3 linked regions of the Sus scrofa genome follow. The protein of the gene in region 2 purifies or fractionates together with the protein of the main gene of each other region. This does not show direct contact. Links are inferred from orthologs where the notes say so. Each region holds a gene or a part of one and is shown on either strand. Other genes may lie near its edges.

Region 1 (3,649 bases), on a different chromosome or scaffold from region 2:
ATGTAAGGAGGGTAGGGATAATGGATTTATTAAAATACACTGTGTGACTCTTTAATGGTTGTCTAATTTCTGACCACAGATGAAAAGAAATCCTCTTTGCAATTATTATAATTAATCATACATAGGACAACCACTGAGCAAAGTAACTGTTATTTAAGAAAAATTTCTGAAAAGAGGATCAAAAACACACCAAGGGAAAGTCTATCCACATTTTCAGTATTTTAGAGGATCCATGGCATAGCATATTGTTTATTTTATATTCAAAAATGCTTTCAGCGCTGTTTTCAAATCAAACTATTACAGAGCCTTGAACTCCCTGTAACAAGTCAATTGCTTACTCCAGACTTGTATCCAAATTATCCTGGACATGCCAGAGTGGACCCATGGTGTAATACATTAATAAAGGAGAGTTAACCTGACAGAGGAAATCATTCCAAAGACAACTTGTAAATGTAAAGTGTATGCCCTTCACATGAAAACCTTTGTGGAATTAAAACCAGCCCACATACCTCCATGACAGCAGAATATTTTCTCATCCACGATGGCTGCTATCGGTAAACAGTTAAAGCAGTCTGTGAAAGTTTTCCATAGTTTAATGTTATATCTTCTTTTACCTGTGAAAATTTGGGGATGGTTAAAAAGAGACTGGTGTTCTGTGGGTACATTATCTAAGGAAAATTCCCCCCAGGCAAGGTTCTGACTACCTTAAGTAAACAAAAACTATGCTTTTATTAAAAAAGAGAATTAGGACCAACTATGAAATCTAGTCTGTTTTGTCCAATCTCAACCCACAGGTAGGTTCCTATTTCTAAAGGCAATTAAAAGCAACTCACACACTTGCCATTATAATCCTTCTGAAGAAGCCTCTGAGAGTTAACACCCATCCCAGCTCCCACCACTGTAACTGAGCAGGGCCTTGTGGGGCTCCTGGGCACAAAAGCCTTTCTGTGTCCCCCATTTCTTGTTTTTAGAAAACGGGCCTCATTCAGCCTCCAGAGCCTCTCAAGCTCCTGGGGACAGGTTCAGATAGCGGCTAATTAGGAAAGGAAGGGGATGCAAAGACAAGGAGGAACAGTCAAGAAACGACTGTACAGCCTTGGGGCAGGATCCTGGTTCCCTCTCAAGGGATATACATAACAAAGCAGACATCTTTATTCACCTAAGAGAAAAACTATATTCCTTGTGCTTCTTTCAAAGATGAATACCTTAAAATTGAACAGCCAAGACTATTTCCTTGTCCTCCTCCCTGGCTTAATTGTACCCTAAACACAATCACCCATAATCTAAAGATTAAGCACCCTGAGCACAATTGCCTGTGGGTTAAAGATTATTAGCACATGTTTTCCAGGAACTTTCCTAGATTGTTCTAATCTCTGATTAATATACTATTTTGCAAGTACTATTACTCTAGGCAATAACCCAGAAGACTACCATCATGATAGTGCAGAGATCTATCTCCTGATGTCAGGTTTTTTTTTTTTTTTAAAAGGGCCACACCCATGGCACATGGACGTTCCCAGGCTAGGGGTCAAATCGGAGCTGCAGGCACCACAGCCACAGCAACACCCAATACTTAACCCACCAAGTGAGGCCAGGGAACCTGCGTCCTCCTGGATACTAGTGGGTTCATTACCTCTGAGCCATGACAGGAACTCCAGACGTCAGCTTTGATGACTACAATTCCCACAAAGAAAGAAGAATGCATGTCTGCTCCAATCCTGATCTGTAGCTGAAAACCTGTTCTCCTCTTTTTTAACATACCCCCCCGCCCCCCCGCAATTCTTCCCAGTGTAGGGCACAGTCTTTAAGGAATTAGCCTGCTGTGGCCTCCTTTGCCTGGCAAAGCAATAAAAGCTCTTTTTCTCCTTCACCCCAAACTTTTATCTCCATGTTTCTATTGGCCACTGGTAGACAGAGGCGGAGTTTCAGCAACATCACTCTCAGGAAACTCCCAGTACCCCCCAGCCATGCCCCATATTCTTGTAGGAAGCACAGTGCATACAGGGGAATACAAACTGCTTATCACAGGCACAACAGGATATATCCCTAACATGCTACACAAACGCTTAGAAAAGATCTTATAGGGTGGTTATATTCCCCTCACTAATCCATGTACCCTATGCATTCTTAAGTCACTGAGTGATTCAAATTATGCATGCCCTTATGGCACTGTTTCCATAGAATTATGTTCCGCATTAAAAACCTACTCATAAACCCTGGAAGTACATATCTATCTGAATTGGTTGGGGATGTCTCCATTGCTGGGGTGCCTTTGTCTCCTATACCCTCCACAATAAAAGACACCAAAGGTCAAAGCACAATCTTATTCCTAAACTGAGATTTGGCTCTCAGTCTCTTTTTCTCTGTATCTGGGTAAAACCCTACACCCAAGGTTCACACTGTTCTGTATTTCTTTGCAAGGCACTAATTCTCTCTGTCCCATACTTCCTTCACTGGAGGGTTCTGGAAGCGTTAACAGAATTCCTTTGTACAAAAGCCTGAAGGGGAACCTCTGCACAAATACCACCTCTAATTTCCAATAATGATAATAAAGTAAGAACAGGGCTGGGCTGTCTTAACCCTTATTATAAAAGTGATGTGACCAGAAAAAAAAAAAAAAAGTGATGTGGTTCTTTCTCCATTTTCTACTGAAGCCTATCTCTGAAAAACCATCCAATGGCTCTCCTGGATTTTTCCTTTGCTCAAATGCAGCATTTGCCAGTGCCGACAAATTCTCTTCCTTCTTAAGGTCTGCTTTCCTTCTTGATTTCTCTGTTACACACTGCACTCAGCTTCTCCATCAAAAGATTCTTCCTCCTGTTGTCTCTGAGCATCTTAACTGAGTCCTGGGCCCCTGCTTTCTCTCCTCTCTACACTTCCTCCCTAAGGTCACTTCAGACCACTAGGAGCATCTGGCTCAAGAAGGATTCCTGGATAATTGCCAAGGTCTCATCAAGCTTTCAAATCGCTGGGTTCTGAGCCAGAACCCCTAATGCAGTTTCCTATTTCTATAGACCAGACAGCTCTGGTTATAAAAAAGGGATAACAACCCACATTTTATCTAACAACAGATACCTCTCTAGGACTGCAGTCAAAAAGCTGATGGAGGGGGAAAAAAAAGGCACAGAGGGTGCTTGTTATACTTAGGAAATGAGTCTATTATGTTAAGCAGTGGTTTTAAAATTGTTCCACTGAGGAGTTCTCATGGCACAGCAGAAACAAATCCAACTAGTATCTACGAGGATACGGGTTTGATCCCTGGCCTCGCTCAGTGGTTAAGGATCCAGTGCTGCCATGAGCTGTGGTGTAGATTGCAAATGTGGCTCGGATCTGGCATTGCTGTAGCTGTGGCCAGCAGCTGCAGCTCCAATACGACCGCTAGCCTGGGAACCTCCACGTGCTAAGGATGCAACCTTTAAAAAAAAAAAAAAAAAAAAAAAAAGTTCCACGGAAATTTACATTTGAATAAAATTTCCAAATACAATAAAATTACCAATGGTTTTTTTAAAAAGTTGGCAAACTATCAACTGAAAGCCACCTATATCAAGGACACTTCTAGGCCCAAACAGACTGAGTGGCAAATTATACTTGCCTGATGAGAGAGGGGAAAGCTGGAGTACAAGGTCATTATATCAGTCTTGAGGACAAG
Region 2 (3,749 bases):
TATGATATTGATATTATGCTTTCCAATAAAACATTACTTTTCTTCCTAAGGGCCAGAGAATTGATCTAATCTACGTCATACACCTACCTGGTCACAAAGCAAAACTAGAACCCAGGTCTCTTATCAAGCCACTCTCTTACCACAGACCACATGAAACAGGTCACAATTAATCCATACAACTTTTAAAGAGCATACTGTATACTACTGTATAAATACCAAATTCCCTAATTTGGATAACTGTACTCTGGTTACCTAAGAAAATGTTCTTGTGCTTAGTAAATTCATGTTGAAGTGTTGAGGGATAAAGAGCCTTAATACCTCCATATTACTGATGATTCAGACAAAAATGCATATATAGACACACACATATAAACAAACATTCACATGGATAATGACAAAACAAATGGGGCAAAATGTAACCAATTATTGGATCAAGTGGGAGGTCTCTGAAACAATATGGTAACTTTTCTGTAAGTTTGTAATTATGTAAAATGCTACCTGAATGAATGAACTGTATTATTTATAAAATTAACATTTTACTTTTAACAAGACAACACTTCAAGTCGATGTCATTTCTACAACCAATCAGTGGAAAATATGCCATATTTGGAGACATACTGTGAAGAAATGCTATCACCATCTTCATTTCCTTTAAATGAGGTAGGTATACATCTCTATCTCCAGGTTCCAAGGAGAGGTTCTAATCTGTGCACAAGCACTAAACATTTCAAGCAAGTCAACTTCAAATTACTTCCAGCTCCAGGACTCCAAAACTCCAATCCCCAGCTTTATAGGTTACTCTCTCTTCCAGGCTGCTGTAAGTGGCCAGATTTGGACAGAAATGAGTAACATTGACTTGAATCACTCAGCATCGGTCCAGCTAACAATAACAACCCTTTTCTCAGAACCACCACTATAGGACCCTCTTCCACATACTTCAGGCAGATCCTGAAGCCAGTAACATAAGACTTTTTCACAATACCAGCAGGAAAGTTATAAGGGGGAGAAATTATAGCTCAGCGCCATACAGCTTTAATTCACAAGTGAAGAAACAAGTTCCAAAAATTTATAGAAGACATCAGTTTAAACAAAAATAAAAAAGACAAAAGGAACAGAGAAAAACTCAAGGATTCAAAAAATAAGATCTGGAACTAGATAGCAAAATGAAGTCTGAGAAAACCAGTAGCCTGCTTTAAAACCAAACATCCACAAGCCTGCTTGGGGAAGATGGCTGAAGGGAAATCAAATTTAGCCTACCTAAACCAGCTTCTACTCCAAAGGAACTCACAATTTAGCAAGGACTACATGCGTGAGGCAAAGCGGACAGGTGCACAGGGAAAAAAGCAAAATGCGGTGCTTTCAAGATTTTGCAGAGATACAGGTGTGATGAGTCTCCAGAGGACTTGGGACAACCTACAAATGTCATGGTCTAACTAGGAATTTTGCTAAGTCCAAGTAGACCATAAAGTGTAACTTTAAAAGAAAGTGTTAAGAGGAAACATGAAATTGTTAGACGATGCTTTCTTTGTTCTACTGGGAGGTTCACATTCAGGTCAGGACTGGACCGCCAAGTTTGTACGTGTCTGGCAAAAAGGAAAAGTTTCAGATGTTGTTAAAAAGTTAACTATAAACGTAGGCTTCGGCACTGAGGGAGTAAGAGAACTATTTGGAACAGAAAGGAAAAGAAAGAGGGCCCAAAGAGGCACAACAAATAAATCCTGACAGCTAACAACTGCAACCCACGCGGCCTTCAGGCAGAAAGGCGGCGGGAAGCTGAGGGGCAGGGGATGGGCGGAGTGCCAGGCCTGAATCGAGGTCACCATGGAAAGGGCAGAGAGAGGGAGCTGCCGCTGCTGAATGAGGCAGCAGAGCAACCTCTGCAGTTCCGCGCGGGGGCCACAGCAAACCGGCACCTTCGAGGGAGTCGGAGGGGCGGAAAAGCTACCAGCTGAGGCCGCGGTGGGCGGACCGGGCGTTTAAAGGTCAAGGTCAAGGTGGGGTTCGGCCAGCGCTGCAAAAGCGCTCGCTGAGAAGGTCGGGGGCGGGGAAAATAAATACGATTATTATTATTATTATTGCTATCCTTATTTTCTAAAGAAAGAAAAAGGTCTCCTGGACAGTTTCGGAGTGGACGCGGTCCTGGCAGGAGCGTGTGCAAAACAGGCAGGGGGCCGGGCGGAGGGCGGGCCTCCGGACTAGCACTGGGCCTAGACGGGGATGGCGGGAGGGACTCAGACCCGAGCCCAAGGCCACCGCCGCACTCACTTGCCCTCCTGGCAGTCATAGAGCACGATGGAGTCGTCGTCGCTGCTCGAGATGACTGTCTCGCCGTTAGGGCTGAAGTCGAAGCAGTTAATCTTGTCCGAGTTCTCGCGGAACACCTTGGCGACGCGGAAGCTCCGCAACACGCTGTCGGTCAGCTTCATGGCGGCGGCTGCTAGAGGCGGCGGCGCAAGGCCGGGGCGGGGCCCGGCGGGCGGGCGGGCTGCCGAGGGGCCGACCGGGGCAGGACCGGCGCTGCGCTGGCGGCCAGAGGGAGTGCGGGCGACAGTCGGGCCACCTACTCCTCTTCCTCCGCCTTCTCGGGCAACACTCTTCTGTCTGAACTGTGGAGCCTTGCCGACCGTTCCCCCTCACAATCACCTCAGGACCAACAAGCGCGGCACCGGCTCATTGTGTCCGCCATCTTGGGGCGACAGGCAGAAGCCGAGGGCGAGGAGCCTCACCGCGGCGCAAGACGGGAAAGGGGGCGGGGCGAGAACGGCGGCGCGAGGCGAGGCGGTGACGTCAGCGCGGCCGGCAGAGAGAGTGGTGTGGCTGGGTGGCTGGGTGGCGGGGTGGCCGGAGGCGACGGTTCCCGGAACTGCTGCTGGGCGGGATGGGTGGGGACTCCCAAGTCCTTCCCACCGGAGCCCCAAGGTCTCTGGTGCCCGTGAGGCAAGAGCCTTTGTGCTGAATCGCAACCCGCCGCCGACACTGGGGCGCCCCCTGTAGGCCTCCCCCACCAAAGGGCGAGTGAGAGCAAATACTGCCCCTTGGGCTATCCCCCAGGAGGCTTGTTCTTGTTTTCGTGGGTTTTTGGTTTTTTGTTTTTTTTTGTCTTTTTAGGGCCACACCCGGGGCGTATGGAAGGTCCCAGGCTAGGGGTTGAATCAGAGCTACAGCTCCCGGCCTGCACCACAGCTACAGCAACACCAGATGCGAGCCACTCTGTGACCTACACTATAGCTCAGGGCATTGTGGGATCCTTACTCCACTGAGAGAGGCCAGGGATTGAACCAGCAACCTCATGGTTCGTAGTCGGATTAGTCAACCACTGAGCCACGAGGGGAACTCCCGTTCTTTTTAAATTGAGGTGTACTACACGGTAGACTGCATAATTTTTTTTTTTTTTTTTTGTCTTTTGTCTTTTGTCCTTTTAGGGCCACACCCATGCCAATGGAGGTTCCCAGGCTACGGGTCTAATCAGAGCTGTAGCCTCCGGCCTACGCCACAGCCACAGCAATGCCAGATCCAAGCTGAGTCTGTGACCTACACCAGAGCTCGCGGCAATATCGGATCCTTAACCCAATGAGCAAGGCCAGGGATCGAACCCGCATGGTTCCTAGTCGGATTCGTTTCCGCTGCACCACGACGGGAACTCCTAGACTGCATAAATTTTGTGGATGAATTTTTTTCATTTGGCTGAATTTTTTTTTCATTTGGCTATACATTAATGTGATCATCACCCAGGACTTTTCTTCAAACCT
Region 3 (3,282 bases), on a different chromosome or scaffold from region 2:
AAGAATATTCCTGGGGGATCCCCCTGTGGCTCAGTGATTAATAAACCTGACTAGTATCCATGAGGAGGCGGGTGCAATCCCTGGCCCCGCCTCAGTGGGTTAAGGATCAGGTTGCTGTGGTTGTGGTGTAGGTTGGCAGCTGCAGCTCGATTAGACCCCTAGCCTCGGAACTTCCATAAGCCGTTAGTGCAGCCCTAAAAACAAAACAAAACAAAACAAACAAAAGAACATTCCTGTTTACACAGGAATGATAAATCAATCATACATGTTATGAGCGCCAACTGTATACACATTGTCCCACAATGACAGGCTGAGAATACAGGTCATTGGGCTCTCCCTCAGCAGGTCATATCCCCACGGCCCAAGGGGGGCCTGCAGACCGGAGTGGGTGGCAACCAGATACTTACAGCCTATACCTGTACTGCAGCCCCTCCTGAGTCCCAGTGTGCCACTCTACTCCAGGGGCGTGGGAACGCAGCTGCAACTAAATAAAGCTTGGAGACCATCAGTAGTTGACTTTCTTGGTTCATCAAAATTTTATTAACAAAACCAGAATTGGGGGAGGCCAGGGTGAGCAGACTCCACAGTCCCTCCCAGGCACAGAGAATGGAGAAACAGAGGGATACACAAGAACGTGAGAAAATTCCGAGGCCCTGTGGTGAGGGCAAACAGGCAGTCAGACGGTGGATGTGCACCAGGAGAAACTCAGGGGCCACCGGAGAAACATGAATGGCAGAACAGACAAACGAGGATCCAGGGCCCTTCCCGCCAGGAGTGCAGGGAAAGAGGACATCTGGGCCACTGGGGCTCAGCGGTCGGCACTGGAGCGCAGGTCGGTTGTGAGCGGGTCATGCTGGATGGTTTGGTGTAGCATCAGGGCCAGCAAGCCTGCTCGGTTGGTCATCGCTGTGCGTACATTACGTTCCTGCTCAAACAGCTCGTCTAGCTTATACCACTGCCGGGGAGCAGAAGGAGCCGTGAGAAGGGGCTCTGGTGACCTCTGCCTGACCCTGGCCACAACCAGCATCAGAACCTACCACACGCACGCGCTCCAGGTCCACCTCGGCCCGCCGCAGCTTCTCCCAGCAGTAGTGGCGGTTGCACTGGCGCTTGGGCAGGCGGCAGAAGTCACCTGTGAGCTCAAAGACGTCCCGAACCAGGGGACAACCACATACCTCATCAGCTGGCACCTGCGGGGAGATGGGGGTGGGGAGGTGGGAAGGAGGCAGGAGTGGGGAGTGGTCAGGGAGGAGGAAGAGGGAGTGGTGAGTTCGGGGGAAGGTGGGAAGGAATGCAAAGGGGAGGACAAGGATGAAGAGGCAGGATAAAGGGAGGAATAGGAGGTGATGCAACAGGCAGAGGAGAGGAATGAGGGTGAAGAGGACAGGGAGCTGTGAGTGGGGAGGCAGGCTACAGGGAAGGAAGGAGGGCGAGGAAGGGGTGACTATGGGGCAGGGAGGGAGGGAGGAAGAAGCAGATGGGAGAGTTGAGAGAAACCCTTACTTTGGGGTCCCGTGAGTGCTCAGGGCACAGCACTTGGAGCCGCTTACAGTACGTCTTGCTTTGAGGATTATAGACGTCACAGAAGAGGCGGGTGGCCCTGGTGGTGTGGAGCAGAGAAGGGAATTGTGGGAGCAGAGGGGGCACAACCTCCTTGCCCAAGCCCCACAACGTTCCACTTCTGACCCCAGCCCTAACACCCCCTGCTCCAAGCCCCACCCTCCAGCAGCGCCCACACTTACCCCTCGATGCGTGTGGGGTACATGGACCCAAAGGACGTCTGGCTCTCATACTGGAGGGGTGAGCACAAACGGAGGGAACTGTGGATGTATGCCGTGTGCCCCTGCGAGACGGCACATCTGTCCCCAGGGACCCAATGCTGTCCCCACACCGTCCGCCCCCTCAGGCCGACACCCTGACCTTGGCATAGCAGCGCTCCATGTGGCGCAAGGCAACTCGTGGGTTGATGGGGTGCCCGCAAGAGACGCAGAAGATCTGCAGGTCTGTGTCATCACTGTCACCCTCATTGCTCTGCACCGGGGAGAAGGGACGGTGAGGCCAGGCAGGACCTGGTACCAGGCCCCGAGCTGCTGTGCCCGTGCTTGCTTACCTCCTCATCTTCACGCACAGCCTGCTGCTTGGCACGCAGGATAATGGCCTCAAGCTCATGGAATCGGCGCTCCATCTCCTGAAGGCGGGTGCGGGCGCTCTGCTGCTCCCGGCGAATGCGCTCAAGCAGCTTCTTGCCATGCTCCTCAGCTATGCAGGGGCTCTGCTGCCACTGCTGGATGCGCTGGGGGAGGATCTCATAGATGCGGCTGCAGGGAGGCAGAGCATCGGTGCAGGCAGGGGAGAAGGCCAGCGACAAGGTGAGGAAGTGGACACCCAATGGGTGGGTGATGCAATGGGGAAGGGACAAGTAAATGGGTGACTGAATGGGAGATAGCTGGGTGGATGAGCAAATGGATGGATGGGTAAGTCACTGGATGGACAGGTGGGTGCCTGGTTGACTGAATGGTGGCAGGTGGCCAGGTGAGGTGACTGACTGGTCGGCATAAAGGGGGCTCTGGTCATGCCCTACTCTGTGCTCGCTGACCCCCTAAGCCCTCCAGGAATGACTCACTTGGCTGCCAGCTTCATGCCACAGTCGTCTGAGCAATACTTGGAGCCGGGCTGGGCAGGGCGCACACAGCCAGGCCCCAGGCACTGCGGTAGCGATGCTGGGTCCTTGGCATCAGCGCGCTCAGGGTGTTTCCATTTGTCCTTGTGCTTCTGCTTCTGCCGATGCCGCTTGTATCTTTCTTCTTTCTGTGGAGAAGACTGGTCGGGTCAGGGCAGAGCTGAAGTCAACCCCAGGTCCTGTCTCCCCCTACACCCCCACCCACCCCGCTTCCTGGTTCTCGGCCTCCCTCCCCACCCCAATTCCATTGCCTCCATCACCTTCTTGTCAGACTTTTTCTCCCGACGCTTCACATGCTTCACTTTCACGGCCCTCTTCCGAAGCGCGGGGTCCAGGAATGGGGACTCCTCCGTGTCACTCATCCAGGGCTGCAAGTGAGGCAGGCACTGATTCGCCTGCTCCACTCCTAACTTCCCCACCACCCACTCGGTCCCCAAATCAGCTTTCCATACCCTCTGCCTCCTCTCTCCTCATTATGGACATTCTCTGCTTCTGTAACCTCTACCCTTCCACCATGGGACGCTCTGCCTGCTCACCAGGCCATGGTCATCAAAGGCCCCTGCACAGAAGTCCTGGTACAGGTCAGGGTCCAGTGGGAGATC

Evidence for each region.
Region 1: the proteins of WDR82 (region 2) and PPP1CC purify together in Homo sapiens (affinity purification with mass spectrometry; 5 studies listed by BioGRID and IntAct, with this or other methods). This does not show direct contact. The link is inferred for Sus scrofa from reciprocal best matches to the Homo sapiens genes WDR82 and PPP1CC.
Region 3: the proteins of WDR82 (region 2) and CXXC1 purify together in Homo sapiens (affinity purification with western blotting; 7 studies listed by BioGRID and IntAct, with this or other methods). This does not show direct contact. The link is inferred for Sus scrofa from reciprocal best matches to the Homo sapiens genes WDR82 and CXXC1.

What each region holds. Positions count from the first base shown.
Region 1 is NC_010456.5:32,074,188-32,077,836, forward strand, and holds part of PPP1CC (serine/threonine-protein phosphatase PP1-gamma catalytic subunit), read right to left. Parts: intron 615-3,649; coding exon 510-614; intron 1-509. UniProt on the Homo sapiens protein: Protein phosphatase that associates with over 200 regulatory proteins to form highly specific holoenzymes which dephosphorylate hundreds of biological targets.
Region 2 is NC_010455.5:34,409,442-34,413,190, forward strand, and holds the start of WDR82 (WD repeat-containing protein 82), read right to left. Parts: upstream 2,750-3,749; 5' UTR 2,427-2,749; coding exon 2,266-2,426; intron 1-2,265. UniProt on the Homo sapiens protein: Regulatory component of the SET1/COMPASS complex implicated in the tethering of this complex to transcriptional start sites of active genes.
Region 3 is NC_010443.5:99,933,982-99,937,263, forward strand, and holds the end of CXXC1 (CXXC-type zinc finger protein 1), read right to left. Parts: coding exon 3,217-3,282; intron 3,049-3,216; coding exon 2,941-3,048; intron 2,809-2,940; coding exon 2,624-2,808; intron 2,319-2,623; coding exon 2,111-2,318; intron 2,032-2,110; coding exon 1,921-2,031; intron 1,793-1,920; coding exon 1,743-1,792; intron 1,601-1,742; coding exon 1,504-1,600; intron 1,191-1,503; coding exon 1,038-1,190; intron 956-1,037; coding exon 809-955; 3' UTR 512-808; downstream 1-511. UniProt on the Homo sapiens protein: Transcriptional activator that exhibits a unique DNA binding specificity for CpG unmethylated motifs with a preference for CpGG.